Linked DNA regions of Alligator mississippiensis. Each later gene encodes a partner of the first gene's protein in a complex. Links are inferred from orthologs where the notes say so. Each region holds a gene or a part of one and is shown in the gene's direction. Other genes may lie near its edges.

Region 1 (6,683 bases):
GGGAACAGCCTCGTGCCGGGGTGGGCTGGAGCCGTGGCACCCGTTGGCCTGAGCACTGGCAAGACGGGGCCGGTGGCAGAAGGGTGCGGCAGCCTGTCCTGCGCCGGCCCCCCGGGAAGGCGAGAACAGGGTGGGAGTCGCACCTGCTTTGGGAACAGCTGCGGCCCTCTGGCGCAGTCCCTGCACCCGCTCCTGCCCGGGCTCGTCCCTCCCCTCCCCTCCCCTGGACTGGTGCAGCTGGAGCAGGGCCCGGGAGGAGCCCTAGCAGCTGCAGACGAGGGAAATGGAGCTGGGGTTTGCTGCTGCTGCCTCCGGGGCCCTTCCTGTGGCTCCAGGCTCCGGCTGGTGCCCTTGCCCAAGGCCATGCCAGGGTCCTGCTCCGGGGCTCGGCTCTGGGTCACAGGAGGCAGCAAGGGCCGTAAGCTTTAGTCTGGACAGCACCCAGGTGCAAGTGAAGCGTTACCTGCGTCACAGCGGGGCCTAGCTGGGTGGGGCTGGTCCAGGCGGCACAGGCACCTTGGGGACCGATGCAGGCAACACTGGAAGGGGGCCAGCAGGGGGACGGGAGCGGTGACTGCAGGAGGGACCAGGCGCAGCCACCCAGCGCCTCGAGGCACGCGGGGAGGTGGATGCAGCACATAGACACCCGCACCGCTTGGCCTGGGGAGAGCGGCGTGGCCGGCGCGTGCAGCGAGAGGGGGGAATCTGGGGCCACGGCCTTCCTCTCGCCCCGGGCTGCGTGTGATGGGCAGAGGGTGGCCCTGCCAGGTGCTCCCAGAACACGTACTGTAATTCTCTGTACATAGACGAACGATTACTGTAAAGTAAAGTTTAACTTTACTCCCGATGCCCTCTCGTGTGGTTTGTCTTGGGGGCACAAGCAGGTCAGGGGCAGCACCCCCTGCACAGACTGGGGGACGGGGAGGTACGGGCCCCGGTGCAGGGAAGGAGGGACCGGCGCAGTTAGCGGGCACTCGGTCCCCAGCGCCTGTGCACGGCTGCAGCCAGGACCACGGCTGGCAGAGATGTTGGTGCACACTGGGAAGGCTGGGGACAGGTTGCTCCAGCTTCGCCAGGTGGGTGACTTGAGTAGCCTGGATAGGGACCAGGGCTGGCGTGTCTCCTTCCGTCAGGTCAGCCTGCGAGTTAGGCTTCAGCCTGGCAGCAACACGAGCGCGGACCTGGGCCGTGGGGGTCCCAGCTGCCTGCTCCCCGGGGCGCGGTGGGCTGCAACTGACCCCTGGCAGCAGCAGCGCAGGGGGGAGCCCTCGGGCCCAGGCTGCTCCTGGTCCATCGGCTCAGCCTCGTAGGTAGCATGCTCTGGTGGGAGTCTCCCCCAACCTGAGCCCTCCACGGCGAGCAGAGACCTTTCACTCCAGGCACCGCGAGGTTGAGGTGCCGAGTCCCTGCCTCCCCCCAGCGCACAACCCAGAAGGCTGTGAGATTTGGCCAGCCAGGGCGGAGGAAAGGGTTGGTGCACCCTGGGCACGGCCCTGTAGCATGCAGGCCCCTCTGTCCGCAGGTGGGAGCAAAGGGTAAGGGGTGCTTGCAGCAAGCAGGGGTTTCCCACGAGGGAAATCTACCCACCAGCCCTGGGTAGCCGCAGCAGCCTGACGGGTGAGTATACCTTCCCCCCCCACCCCGGGGTGAAGACGGTGCCCCTGGGTGGCCTGGGCTGGGGGCCTCAGGGCTCTGGTTCTCTCCCTGGTGCAGTTGCCCAGGGAAGGGTGCAGGGCTGCTCACAGCAGCAGCCGTCCCCTCCCCCTGCATCGGGATACACCTGCCAGCTTGGCAGGACCTCAGGGTGTCGCAGATGGCTGCTCACGGATGTGGTGGCAGGGCAGAGCGCCAAGCGCCTTCCAGGAACAGGAGCATGCAGGGAGCAGTTCTCCAGTGCCCAAGGGAGAAGGGCTCAAAGAGGCCAGGAGGATGCAGGAGCTGAAGGAGGTGGGTGCAGGTGCAGGGCCAGGGCCAGGGCCAGGGCGGGCCTGAAGCAGTGCTTCCTGCTGCTAAGAGCAGTACAGGCAGGAGTAAGGCTGCCTGCAGGGCTCTCAGCCCGGCCTGTCTGGGACAGCAAGGTCTGGCCCTCTCCTGGGCTCGCACCAGGGGCTTCTCCCCATCCTGCTCCGGGCAGAGGAGCCAGAAGGCCCCTGCCTGCCCCATTCCGCAGCCCCCTGCACTTGCTCCCTGAGGCCTCAGGCCACCGGCCTGGTCCCAGCACAGTGAGCCCAGCGCTGCCATCTCACACACCGCAACGCACTTTATTTACATCTCTATAAGTTAACAGAAGCTGAGACAATCCACGTGGGCCCAGGGTGCAGTTCCAGCCAGCGCAGCCTGTGCCGGGAGGAGCTAGGTGGGGACGCAGCCGCGGAGCAGGCAGCAGCAGGGGACCCACGGCCACAAGGTCCTGCAGCAAGAGCAGAGCTATGTCCCCTCCAGCATCCCAACCATGTCCCTGTCCAGTGCCGGGGCCCCGTCTCTGCAGCCCCACAGCTAAAACCAGGCCAGTGCAAGGAGCAGGGGCTGTGCCGCGGCAGGGGCGTTGCTCTGGCTCAGTGGTGGCAGCAGCTGTAGAAGTAGGGGCTGCTCTTCTGGCTCAGGTCGATGCCTCCTTTCTCCTCTGCAAGAGAAGGAGCAGTGAGGGGGTGGCCCGCCAGCTGTGGCCCACAGCCGATGGGAGCTGCACCCCAGCCCTGCTCCCAAGCAGACACTGTGGGAGCAGAAGGCTCCACGCTGCCACACCAGACCTGTGCCTGCTGAGGAGCAAGAGATGCCTCTCCCGCACTCACCTGTCATCAGCTGGAAGGCAGTGAAGCGCACGTAGTCCTCTGCTACCTTCTGAAACAGCTCATCTGAGACAGGAAAGAGTCAGGCCCGGCCGTGCCCCCCACCCCCTACCAGCCCCAGGGTCCTGGCTGAGGAGGAGCCTGCATCGTGCCCAGGACCTGAGAGATGGGGCAGCACTGAGCCCTTGATCTGCATGGCCGCTCTAGAGGGAAGGGCCCGGCCTGGCTCCAGCTGCGGCTCCACGGAGAAGCGGTCACTCACCCACGCTCTGGCCTGTCTTGCTGGAGGTCTCGAAGAGCTCGGCCTTAATCTCTGAGCAAGATGACAGGTGAGTGCCTGAGAAGCATGGGCCACGGGGCAGGAACCACCACCACCCTCTACCCCCTTCCCAGCTGGCCCGGTGCAACCTCTGGGCCCCTTCTCCCGCTAGCCTAAGCAAACACGCGGCTGGGGGCTCGCCCCCAGGGACCGCCAGCCCCGGAGCCGTTCCTGCTGTGCGGGTGGACATGGGCCCCAGCGGGTGCTGGCCTTCATTTCCACAGGGACCGGGACCGGGAGGGTCCCTGAGCCGCACCTGACCAGCGTGAAGCAGAGATGGGGCCGAAGCCCGAAAGAAGATCCAGGCCCAGTGGGAGCAGGGCAGGGGCTGCGACCGAGACACGACCTACCATCTGCGTAGTCCTGCACGTCGTGGAAGTCGACCCCCCGCCGGCGCCTGTCCTCCTCCAGCAGGTCGCTCTTGGTGCCGCACAGGTAGATGCGGCAGTTCTGGGCCGAGCAGGGAGGGGGGTCAGCCACACGCGGGAGCCCGGGCGCCCGCGCCGCACCCAGATGCCCCCGCGCCGCGCAGCGCCGCACCGGGGCTGCGGCGCGGGGGGAGGGGAATTAGCACCCCCTCGCGGGTACCCGGGGCACGGCCGGCACTTGAGGAACCTGCACCCGAGGAAACGGCTCCTCGCCGCGCGGGAAGTCCCTCGGCGGCTCCCGAAGGGGAAGTGTCCCCCCCGCCCCCGCTCACCTCCTCGAAGGTCTGCAGCTCGTTCACCCAGAACTTGGCGCGCTCGAAACTGCTGCCGTCCGTGAGATCTGCCGGAGCCGAGAGTCGGACGCTGCCCGCCGCGGACCGGGGCCCGCCCGGCCGAGGAGCCCCCGCAGGGGGGGCGGGGAGGGCCCGGCCGCCCCGGCCCCCTTACCGTAGCACACGATGGCCGCCCGGGCCCCGCGGTAGTAGATGCGGCTCATGGCCTCGTAGCGCTCGGAGCCCGCCGTGTCCTGCGGGCGGGGGCAGGGTCAGGGTCAGGGTCGGGGCCAGGGTCAGCTCCGCGCCCCCGCCCCCCCGGCCGGCCCCACTCACCCAGATGCCCAGCGTCACGGCCCGGTCCCCCACGGCGATGACCTTGGCCACGAAGGCGGCGCCGATGGTCTGCAAGAGGAGGGAGAGGGAGAGGGAGGGGGAGGGGAAGCACCGGGGTCGGGGGGGCGGGGGCGCGGGCCGGCACTCACGTTCTGGTAGGGCCCCACGAGGAAGCGCTGGTGAACGTAGCGCTCCACCAGGCTGGTCTTGCCCACGTACTCCTTGCCCAGCAGCACCACCTTGGCGTCCACGCGCGGGCCGCTCATGCTGCTGCCGCCGGGCCGGGGCCGGGCCGGGAGCGGGACCCGCTCAGCCGCGCCGCATGGCCCCGCCGGCTCGGCTCGGGCCAGGACTCCGGAAGCACGTGACGCCGAAGCGGAAGTGGGGCAGGGGCAGGGCGGAAGCAGGCCGAGCGGGAGCGGAAGTGGTGCTCGGCCCTTCCGGTCACGAGGACTGGCGGCCCCGGAAGTTGCCGCAGGGACGCTGTCGTCGCATGGCGGGCGCTGCGCGGCCGGGGCGGGGGCGGACGCGGACGTGGGGTGCGGGAGCGGCGGGCCCGGCCTGAGGCGGCGCCATGGGCAAGCACTGCGCCAGCACGGGCGTGCTCAAGGGGCCCTGGGACCAAGTCTTCGCCGCCTTCTGGCAACGCTACCCGAACCCCTACAGGTGCGGCCGGGCCGGGGCCGGGGCGGGAGCGCCGCTCCTTGGGGCGCTGGGCTGGGCCGGGTCGGGTCGGGCCCCCCTCCCTGATGCCCCCCCCTGCCCCCGCAGCAAGCACGTGCTGACCGAGGACATCGTGCACCGCGAGGTGACGCCGGACCAGAAGCTGCTCTCCCGGCGGCTCCTGACCAAGACCAACAGGATGCCGCGCTGGGCCGAGCGCTTCTTCCCCGCCAACGTGGCGCACTCGGTGTACATCCTGGAGGACTCCATCGTGGACCCCCAGAACCAGACCATGACCACCTTCACCCGGAACATCAACCACGCGCGCCTGATGGTGGGCGGCCGGGCCGGGCCGGGGGTGTCTGCCTGGGCAAGGAAGGGCTCCCGGGACGCGGCTGGAGCTGCGGGCAGGGCTCATGTCACACCGTCCTCTCCCTGGCAGGTGGTGGAGGAGCGCTGCGTTTACCGCGTGAACCCAGAGAACAGCGGCTGGACGGAGGTGCAGCGGGAAGCCTGGATTTCCTCCAGCCTTTTCGGCATCTCCCGGGCCGTCCAGGTCAGTGTTCGTTCCCAGGGTCCCCATGCGCGGCAGGGACGTGGCCCCCCGGGAGCCCGGCGTGCCGCCCAGACAGCCCTGGTGGGACGGGGGCAGCAAGCACTTGGAAGCTGATGCGCTGCTGGGACCGCTGGGTCTGAGCTGCAGCCTCACAGCGTCTCCTGTTGCAGGAGTTCGGCCTGGCCCGGTTCAAGAGCAACGTGACCAAGAGCACCAAGGGCTTCGAGTACGCGCTGGCTAGGATCCAAGGTGCGTGCGTGCGGGCGGGCGGGCGGGGCTGTTACCGGCTGGGTGTGTGGATTGCTGCCTGCCGCAGCACCAGCTCTGCCGGCCCGGGCGGTGGAACCTGCGCTGTCAGGGCAGGGAGTTTGCCCCGGGAGGGCTGAGTGAGGGGAAGCTGTCCCTGCCCTCCAGGGGCGGAGGCGCCCAGACGATTACAGGTCAGTGACTCATTGCAGGGGAAGCTCCATCCAAAACGCTGGTGGAGACCGCAAAGCAGGCAACGGAGAAGGCCAAGGAGACGGCCTTAGCAGCTACAGAGAAAGCTAAGGACCTGGCCAGCAAGGCAGCCACCAAGAAGCAGCAGTACATGTGAGCTCAGCTCCACCTGTTTCTCCCCCCAGACAGGACCTCCGTAGATTTTATATTTTTTAATCAATGTTGTACAAGTCTGACAATCAGTGATGGAGAACGCCTTCCTGAGATGTAATTATCATTAAACATTCGACTCCCTGAGGCTTGTTTTGGCTGGGCCTGGCTGGCAGTGCAGGTCCATGTGTCACCCAGGGCCAGGGTTAGACACCACCAGCAGGCTAGGGAGGGCGTAGGCTGCTGGAAGCAGGAGGCCAAGTCCCAATCCCGGGGATGAGGGCTGGGGCTGTGACAGCAGGTGCAGCTCTCCAGGAGATGCTGGCTTTGGCCCCCCTGTTCCTGTTGCATTCAGCAATGTCCTGGCAGCAGAGGGAGGCGCTCAGGTGCCTACAGCCCCTGCTGGCGCTCGGCCCTGTGCGAGCAGAGGCGGCCTGACAGGGTGTGGGGCATCGCTGCTGCCTGCCTGCTTGCGGGGCAGCATTTTCTGAAGCGGTTCCAGTTCCTGCCACCCAGAGCAAGAGCCCCCACCTTCTTCCCTCCCCTCAGTGCACCTGTGGCTGTCAGAGCATGCAGTTCGGTCCCAGCAGCTGGCAGCGGTTGAAAGCAGGGGCAGGCTCCTCCCGCCGCATGCCTGGGTGGCGGGGTGTATGCAGGGGGTGCCCACGCTGCTCCAGGGGATGCGGCTGATGGGTCTTCAGGGCTCCTCCCGGGCCCATGGGCTCAGCAGGG
Region 2 (7,533 bases), on another chromosome or scaffold:
AAGCATTCTCTATGCTTGTAATAATCTAATTTGGTTTATAAATAACTCAACTACAGTACAGAAAAAGCTACTGACTTCAGTTTCAGATAAATGGTAGAAAAAAGAATTGCATCTAACTGTCACACTACTCAGTGCAGGCCTACAACTACTGCTTTCCTTGCATCTCAAAGCAATTTATAAACAAGACAGCATCACTGTCACTTCCAAGGTGGAGAAAGTGATTTGCCCAAATTGCTGAGGATAGAACACTGGTCAGGTTCCAGTCTAGTTTCTACTAGGTACATTACTGAGAACAGCAAAGGCATCTGTTAGCTTTCTGCTAATGGCATCTATTTGCACCTTTTAAGGTTGCTGAACTGCTTCAGTTCCTAAAATGTGTTCTGACATCACAAAGGCTATTGTGCATGTCTAAGTGTAGCACATTTATTTAAGGCAGGCTCTGTCACACTAGAAAGTTTCAGCAGGAGAAATAAATGCACTGCTTATAGCACCTTTCATTCCCCTTATAAGTGATTTTACCACTGAAAACAAACTACTAGCACTACTACAACTGTGTTTGCTTGGAACAAAGTTCTCTACTGCTTTATTATACACCAGGCCATCACAGTGTTATGGTCAGGTTCTCACTGATTTAAAAAAAAACCAAACAACCTAACTTTCAGGTTAAAGTAGTAACCCAAAATCCACATTTAACTGTGATCAAAATGAAACGGCAGTAATATATGGATATATATGTAGTGGTGTTTCATTTTGATCACAGAAAAATGTGGATTTTGGGTTCCTTTTTTAACCTGAAAATTGGGTTGTTGGTTTGTTTTTTGGTTTGCATTTTTTTTTTAAATCAGAGAAAACCAGGATCTCTGGTTACGATGATCAGAAAGCAGCCAGAACTTCAGTTTAATCAATGCATATGGATGGTCAAATGGCCTCTCACAATAAGTGTTTTCCACTGGCCTTTCTGGGCAGGGCATTCAACTTTACATCAAAAAAAATCACTTGTATGTATAAACAAACTCTATATGCCTTACTTAAGTGTAAATGTAGGAATCTGGCATATTAGCATAGCATTCCACAAAGCTATACATGGAAAGCAGTATATATACAAATGTAAGACTAGTCAGAGCTGAGAGAGATGAAGGCATATGGTAAAAATAGCGTTTTCTCTAAATGCTTTTTTAATCTAGCAGAAGTTCCCTCAACAGTACCTGTTCTACTGTACTGAACTTTGAGGGTTTCTTTTCCTGATTAGACCTCTAATCAGAGCTAAGCCAGGAAGTAAAAAATAGTTTAAGTGAATTAGGTTCTTACAAAGCTGCAGTACCTAACTTCTTCTCCAGCCCCTCTCATAACTTGACAGAAAAGTTGGATAGTCCTAGTTTCCCTTGTCATCAAGGCTGTGATATGCAGATGTATCTAGAGTACTGAACTTGTTTGATGTTCTCCAGGTTGACACTTCAGCCCTACCAAATGCAGACTAAGCAAACAGTATTGAGGCCATATTTCTATTTTGAAAGTGGCTTAACACCTTCCACCTTCATGTGTATATTTTAAAATAATCCAAACAAACCCTTTGATAGAAATAAAATATTGTAAAGAGGAGCAGCAGAAAGAATCAGTACTCGTGTGTGGGTGTTGTTCTTGGGATAATGTAACATCAGCTGTAGCTACATAAGATTAATTGTCCCCAACAGCATACTGCTGAAAGAACCAGTATGGCATTCTGGCCCAAGCTTTTCAGTTGGAGTCCTGCAGGAAGCTCTCACGCTCTTCTAACTTTGGTAGAGGGATGTTACCTAATAGGAAACAGATAATGAGAGTATGAGACAGCCTGCTAGTTTCCTGAATAATATTGCTGCAACTCGCATGTTTGTCCTTGTGGCTTAAACACTTACCAGTGACTAGGTTTTCCCCTGCAAAAAAGCTGCACTTGAGTTTACAAAAAGCTGCCTTTTGTAAAGAGTCTGCATAAGCAACATTAGGTGTAAATATAAAGCCATAACTTCTGCAGTGCCACTAAGTAATAATGAGCTAGGGTCCCATCCCTCTCTATCTTAACAAGTGACTGTGGCTATCATCCTAGTTCAGTACATGTTTACCACCATTCAGTATACACAGAAGTGAATTAACTGACAGGTTAATACTTCTTAAAAATCAGGGCAGGTATCAAGTCCCATTTAGCATCATCTGTAACAGAACTCTACCTGGTGGAGCTTCAAAATATTCTTCTGCTGTCTGGCTGGCATTTTGTAGCAGCTCCTTGGTGCAGTTGCCTTCTGTGATGTTATCTCCTCTGAGATACAGACACCTGGGGAGCACAGGAAACTTAATGTTCTTTTTCCAAATGACCTACTTTGCCAACTGTGCTTTAGAGAGTCTGATACAGGATGCAAAGTCATGCTCTAGAATCGGAAGGAAGTGCCTTCAAAACTTGTCATACTAAAATATGCTAGTTGCATCTTGAATTTAGGTCTTGCTGGGAGATCCCTGGCAGCTGGGTAACACGCTTCCACCAGTCCCATTGTTCAGGTCAAGCTTTACATTTGACCAGGCACATGTGTTGTTGCCACTTACTGAGCTTTCCTGAAATGAGCAATACCATGTCCTGAGTTCTCTGAAGAAATAAATACAGCAGTTGGCCTAGTGCTTAACATTATCAGCCCTACTCTATATTGAGCTGAGTGAAACACATTTTTTCATATAAGCATGCAGAAAATCTGGTTTCTTGATGAACTGAAGCTGCTAAAGAAACTAATACAGAGAAGGCATTGTTTATATAAACGGTCCCTGAAACTGTTCGGGGTGCAGACACCAGGTGCAAGAACATTCAGGAGTGATTTACAATGATTTTGCATTTGTAATACAGGATATTTCTAACATGAATGGTCTACATAAGAACATTAAGAAATCTGTGTACAGCCTTGTGTTTATATTCCAAGTTTAGGGACACTGTAGACACTCCTCTACCCCTCCCAAAAGAAAAAAACACCTGACCTAAAATAAAGGATTTTGTGGAGGACCAGCCAACTTCATATTTAGCATGATTAGTGGCAAAAAAATTATCAAAATTTACTGCAGCATTTCTTTGGAAAACTAGTAGTTAAAACAGTCACTAACCATAATTTTTTACCTGTTCTCAAGTACCGAATCCATTGGCTCTATCCCTTCTGTGTTAACCTCATGAAGTTGATCAGCAAATTGAATTGCTTTCTCCAGCCGCTCTACGCCCTCCCAATTGCGAAAATCAACTAGTGCCAGTCGTTCCAGATGATCAAGCAACTCCATGGTTACTTTTTTCTTTGAGAAAGGGGGAAAAAAAGAAGTCACATGTCTAGGTCCTGTATTAAGACTACCATATGGGGATGAGTTAGGATAGGCAGAATGAATAAACATAAAGCTAGATAAACTATCCTGAGTCTTGACCAGAGGATATTAGGAATTCCTCTATTACTCGGTCTCAGATTTGCAGTGATCATTTAGCAGAAACAGACTGGCCTGGACTAAATGTACATATGTTGATAGATTCATTATACCTGAGGAAGCGGTTTCTGTTCCTCTAGCTGCCATTCTGGATTCTGATCAATCTAAAGTGCAAGAGATAGGCCATGATAAATATAAGGCAGGGTAGATGAAAACAGACTAACCAAAGTAGATAGTATATATGTGCGCACGCACACTTTTGTTAGTCTACAACAAGGGGTAGGCAGTGCCTGCCACCACAGGTGCCAGAGTGCAGCAATCAAAAGCATTTTGCTTGGCACATGTGCCTTAGGGTGGATGGCAGGGAAGGGGCCAGGGCTGCGCTGCCTCACGGGCCCCGCTATCTGCCCCTGGCACACCAATATCTTTCAGGTCGAGTTTATGGGTGTTTGGGGCACTCTGCCCAAAAACGTTGGCAAGCCCTGATCTACAAGGTGCAAATCACTGCTGCCTCCTGCCCAATGGCTCCGTGCTGCTTACAGGCCCCGGGAAGGACGAGTCTCCACCCGCTGGGGATTTTTACAGTAGGTTTAATTGACTCCACATTGAGGGAGAAATTCCCCTGAGAGAAGGTGGAAGGCATCGAATCGGACCAAGAAACGGAGCAAGGAGATCGCGGCCCCCGCCAGCCTTCGCGCGCTCGCACCCAGTCCCGGGATGCCCGGTGCAGCTGGAGCCCGAGAAATCAACAACCCCGGGCCTGGGCTCAGCCCTCGCCCTCAGCGCTGCCCCTGCCGGGCTCTCGCTTCTAAGGAAGTCGGCGCCAGGCGCCCCCCAGGCAAAACCTCCCGCCCCCAGCCCATGGGGTACGACAGCACGTGACCAGCCCCGGCGCTGGCAGCCACCTGCCGGCCGCCGGTCGCTCCCCGCGCCAGGCGGCTCCCGCCCCACGACCAGGCGGCGCGAAGGCAGCGGCAGCCCCGCAGCGCCCACATCCCGGCCCGGCAGAGGAGCCGCGCGGTGGAAATACGTCATCCAACCGCGCCGGGCGGGAAGTACGTCACGGCGAGGCCCGCCCCTCAGGCGGCGGAGGTTCCGCCATGAACAGCGTGGGCGAGGCCTGCACGGAGCTGAAGCGCGAGTACGACCAGTGCTTCAACCGCTGGTTCGCTGAGAAGTTCCTCAAGGGCGAGAGCGCGGGGGACCCCTGCGTGCAGCTTTTCAAGCGCTACCAGCTCTGCGTGCAGGTGGGCGCCGCGCCCGCGTGCGAGACCCGCCTCCCGCCCTTCCCCTGTAGGGAAGCCTCGTCGCGTCGCGCGAGGCCGGTGCAGAGGAAGGGGCCCCGGGCCTGTTGCTAGCACCCGCGAGCCGGGGAGATGATTAAACCCTCTTAGCCTGTGCCCGCTGCTGCTCCTGCGCTCGGCGTGCTGGCGGGGAGACGGACCCCGGGGCCCGGGCGCCGCCGGGAGAAGAAATGCCGTGCGAGAGCTGGCGGGTCGCTCGTTGACACCGTGGTAACGTCTGCGGTGGCAGCACGGGCTCCTCTTGTCTTCTCAAATGTTTCCTCTTCAAAAACATCCCTTGTGTCTGTTTCTCACCTGGCCATAGCCCAGCATCGCTTCTCCTTCTTTACAAACTCTCAAGTGTTTCATTTCCTTGAGACAAAACACCAGATGAGGAGCTGCCCGGCATGGCACAGACCTCAGTAGGATGTTTTTATTTGCAGCACTACCTCACTGTGAAGCCACGATGACCTGTAGGGCTGTATTATATAATGCCCATAGTGAGCTGATTTGGATTTAGAGTCATATAAGCTTTTTGACAGGCTAAAACTTCACAAAGGAGCAACCTTTCCAAGCTAGTCTAAAGAAGCATTACCACCTCTTACAGAACCTCCTCAATATATGTGAGACCATGTTTGCTCATTTTGCAGTATCAGCTCATCAGCAGGACCCACACCCTGTAAGGGGCCAAACACCTGAGCCATCATTCCTTAATGATTTCCAACGCAGGTAGAAGGGGCTGACCGCACAGTTCACTGAGAGTCTTTGAGTGTCCCTTTGGGGATTTTTAGACATTTAATTTTACAAAATTTATTGTTTCCACTTGTGTGCCTTCTTTTGCTGTTTCCTTACATTTCATTCTTTCATTCTTCATAATGTGCATTCTCTTTTCCCTTTTGGTTAAGAACCACTTCGTTAATTTCTTTCCTTCAGCAAAAGAGTTCTATTCCTCCAATGGTGCTGTAAATCTAAAATCTAGTCCTCCACAAATCCTTCATTCACGTCTGTTTTTGTTTTTTCTGCTTCCAGCACTGTGACTTCTTCAGAGAGTCCCTCAGCTTGCTTTCTTTCCCTTACTAAGTAGAATTTGCCCTTTTACTGAGATGGTAGCGGGAAGGAGTGTGGATGAGAGATGAGTGAGGGTCTAGGCTGCAGTTTAGTACTGATTTAGCAGGAACTCTCAGACTTTCTTTGGTCCAGCTTGGAAGCCTTAATACCAACTTGAGCTAGAGCAGAGTGGTCTTAAATCACATCAGGCACCAAGAAAGTCTTCACAGCAAAAGATGTATAAAATATTTGCTTCTTTTTTCCTCCTAGAAAGCTATTAAGGAGAAGGACATCCCCATTGAAGGGCTGGAATTCATGGGCCCCAGCAAAGGAAAAGCTGAAAACTCCTCATGACTTCAGTTGGACCACACAGAACCATTAGCTTGATCTTTGGGCTCAAAAAAATCATCTTACAAAAGACTAGAGGACAGCTGATGGGAAGGTGGCTTTAAATCAGCTGCTGCTTCTGTCTGGTTTTTTAAAAAGCAAGGAGTCTTCTGTGCAGTTTTTTAATGCTGAGCTGTGTGGCAATTACTGTTCCATTTGAAATGAGCATTGAAATGAGCATTACGTTCTGCAGTGTGAAAAACCCTTCATTTAACTTCCTAAACAAATGTACTCTGAACTGAGGAATGCTTGTTAGGATTGGTTTCTGTTTCTTATTTATATATTAGACAATTTCCAGTGTTAAGATGAACATGAAGAGGTGCATGCTGCCAAATTTTAGTGGGCTACATCTTGACTGATCTTTGTTTTACTAAATATTATGGGCTACAGCCTTGCCTCTCATCCGTTTAATTATAGCAGTGTTTTAAATGCTACCACCATTGGGTCTGCAGTGTTTGGATATATGCAATGAAGAATGTAACCTGGTCAGGTCAAGTTATACTTAACTAAAGGATGCAGGGGTGTAGTTAAACCTGACTTTGGCCTTCAAGAAAGGCCGAAGGCAACCTGCCACAGGGGAGAAACACCGACTTGAGGAGTTATGCTCAGTAGCCTCACTCAAAGCACTGATAATATGTTACTGCTGTCTACTAGCAAGTGATTCCAGCTTCGAGAGTAAAGTTGCAGTGCATGCTTAGTCAGTATCCTTTACACCTTTCCATGCTATACCATAAAAGTGCCAGACTGACCCTAGTTACTAGATTAGGCTTCACGTAAACTATGATTGGATAAGGGCATCTGTATTGCTTTTCTTTCAGTAGAGACTTCTTGCTACTTTGGAGCCAGAAGAAAAATCTGAAGGAAGAAGAAGAAAAAGCACATCAAGATAGGACTACCTAAGGCATGTCCAGCACCCAAATTTAGTAGTTTAGTCTCTCTTTTTTTTTTTAAGAGTTACTCGACTTAGATTTTGAAATACTTTGGGCAAAGGATTGCTAGAGATGTAAGCTTAATATCTTTTTTTCTGCAAGTACCATCACTAATCTTTAGAACTAACCTGTGAATTGTAATATAAGTGGCTAGAGACCTCTCATAAGGAAAGAATTTTTCCCCGTCAGCTTTCTGATAGCTATTTCCTTATGCAGACATGAGGTCTATTAGGAGTAAGTTCTACCTTTTTCAACTCACTGAATATCCTACAAGATCCCTTAAGAAAGTGGCTTTTTCTTGCTTTTGTTCAGTCGGAGGAACTGAAAAGGCAAGGGATTTGGGGGTTTGAGGGGCCCAAATCAGGGGTCATTCTTTCCCTTCATGTGGACATTGAAGTTTGCAAAAGGGAAAATTCCCAGCCAGTTCAATAAAAGAGCTGAGTCTTTTACCCTCAAGAACGCTAGGGTGA

Evidence for each region. Proteins that work in one complex are often made in the same cells at the same time.
Region 2: the proteins of PRELID1 (region 1) and TRIAP1 are in contact, whole or in part, in a crystal structure (PDB 6I3V), measured with the Homo sapiens proteins. The link is inferred for Alligator mississippiensis from reciprocal best matches to the Homo sapiens genes PRELID1 and TRIAP1. Residues at the interface, in NP_037369.1 of Homo sapiens: Trp15, Asp16, Phe19, Ala20, Trp23, Gln24, Tyr26, Pro27, Val34, Leu35, Thr36, Glu37, Asp38, Ile39, Val40, His41, Arg42, Val44, Gln48, Lys49, Leu50, Leu51, Ser52, Arg53, Leu55, Thr57, Tyr79, Leu81, Asp83, Ser84; in NP_057483.1 of Homo sapiens: Met1, Asn2, Ser3, Val4, Lys12, Tyr15, Asp16, Phe19, Asn20, Trp22, Phe23, Phe27, Leu28, Gly30, Asp31, Ser32, Phe41, Tyr44, Gln45, Val48, Gln49, Ile52, Ile57, Pro58, Ile59, Leu62, Glu63, Phe64, Met65, Gly66.

What each region holds. Positions count from the first base shown.
Region 1 is NC_081832.1:79,381,207-79,387,889, forward strand, and holds PRELID1 (PRELI domain-containing protein 1, mitochondrial), read left to right. Parts: upstream 1-4,642; 5' UTR 4,643-4,718; coding exon 4,719-4,810; intron 4,811-4,915; coding exon 4,916-5,141; intron 5,142-5,249; coding exon 5,250-5,363; intron 5,364-5,533; coding exon 5,534-5,612; intron 5,613-5,821; coding exon 5,822-5,958; 3' UTR 5,959-6,098; downstream 6,099-6,683. Other genes in the region: RAB24 (ras-related protein Rab-24), read right to left, coding at 2,556-2,623, 2,793-2,855, 3,052-3,102, 3,459-3,558, 3,809-3,876, 3,984-4,062, 4,145-4,213, 4,294-4,410. UniProt on the Homo sapiens protein: Involved in the modulation of the mitochondrial apoptotic pathway by ensuring the accumulation of cardiolipin (CL) in mitochondrial membranes.
Region 2 is NC_081833.1:20,955,045-20,962,577, forward strand, and holds the start of TRIAP1 (TP53-regulated inhibitor of apoptosis 1), read left to right. Parts: upstream 1-4,471; 5' UTR 4,472-4,517; coding exon 4,518-4,664; intron 4,665-6,017; coding exon 6,018-6,101; 3' UTR 6,102-7,533. Other genes in the region: GATC (glutamyl-tRNA(Gln) amidotransferase subunit C, mitochondrial), read right to left, coding at 1,735-1,793, 2,202-2,305, 3,128-3,294, 3,531-3,581, 4,323-4,412. UniProt on the Homo sapiens protein: Involved in the modulation of the mitochondrial apoptotic pathway by ensuring the accumulation of cardiolipin (CL) in mitochondrial membranes.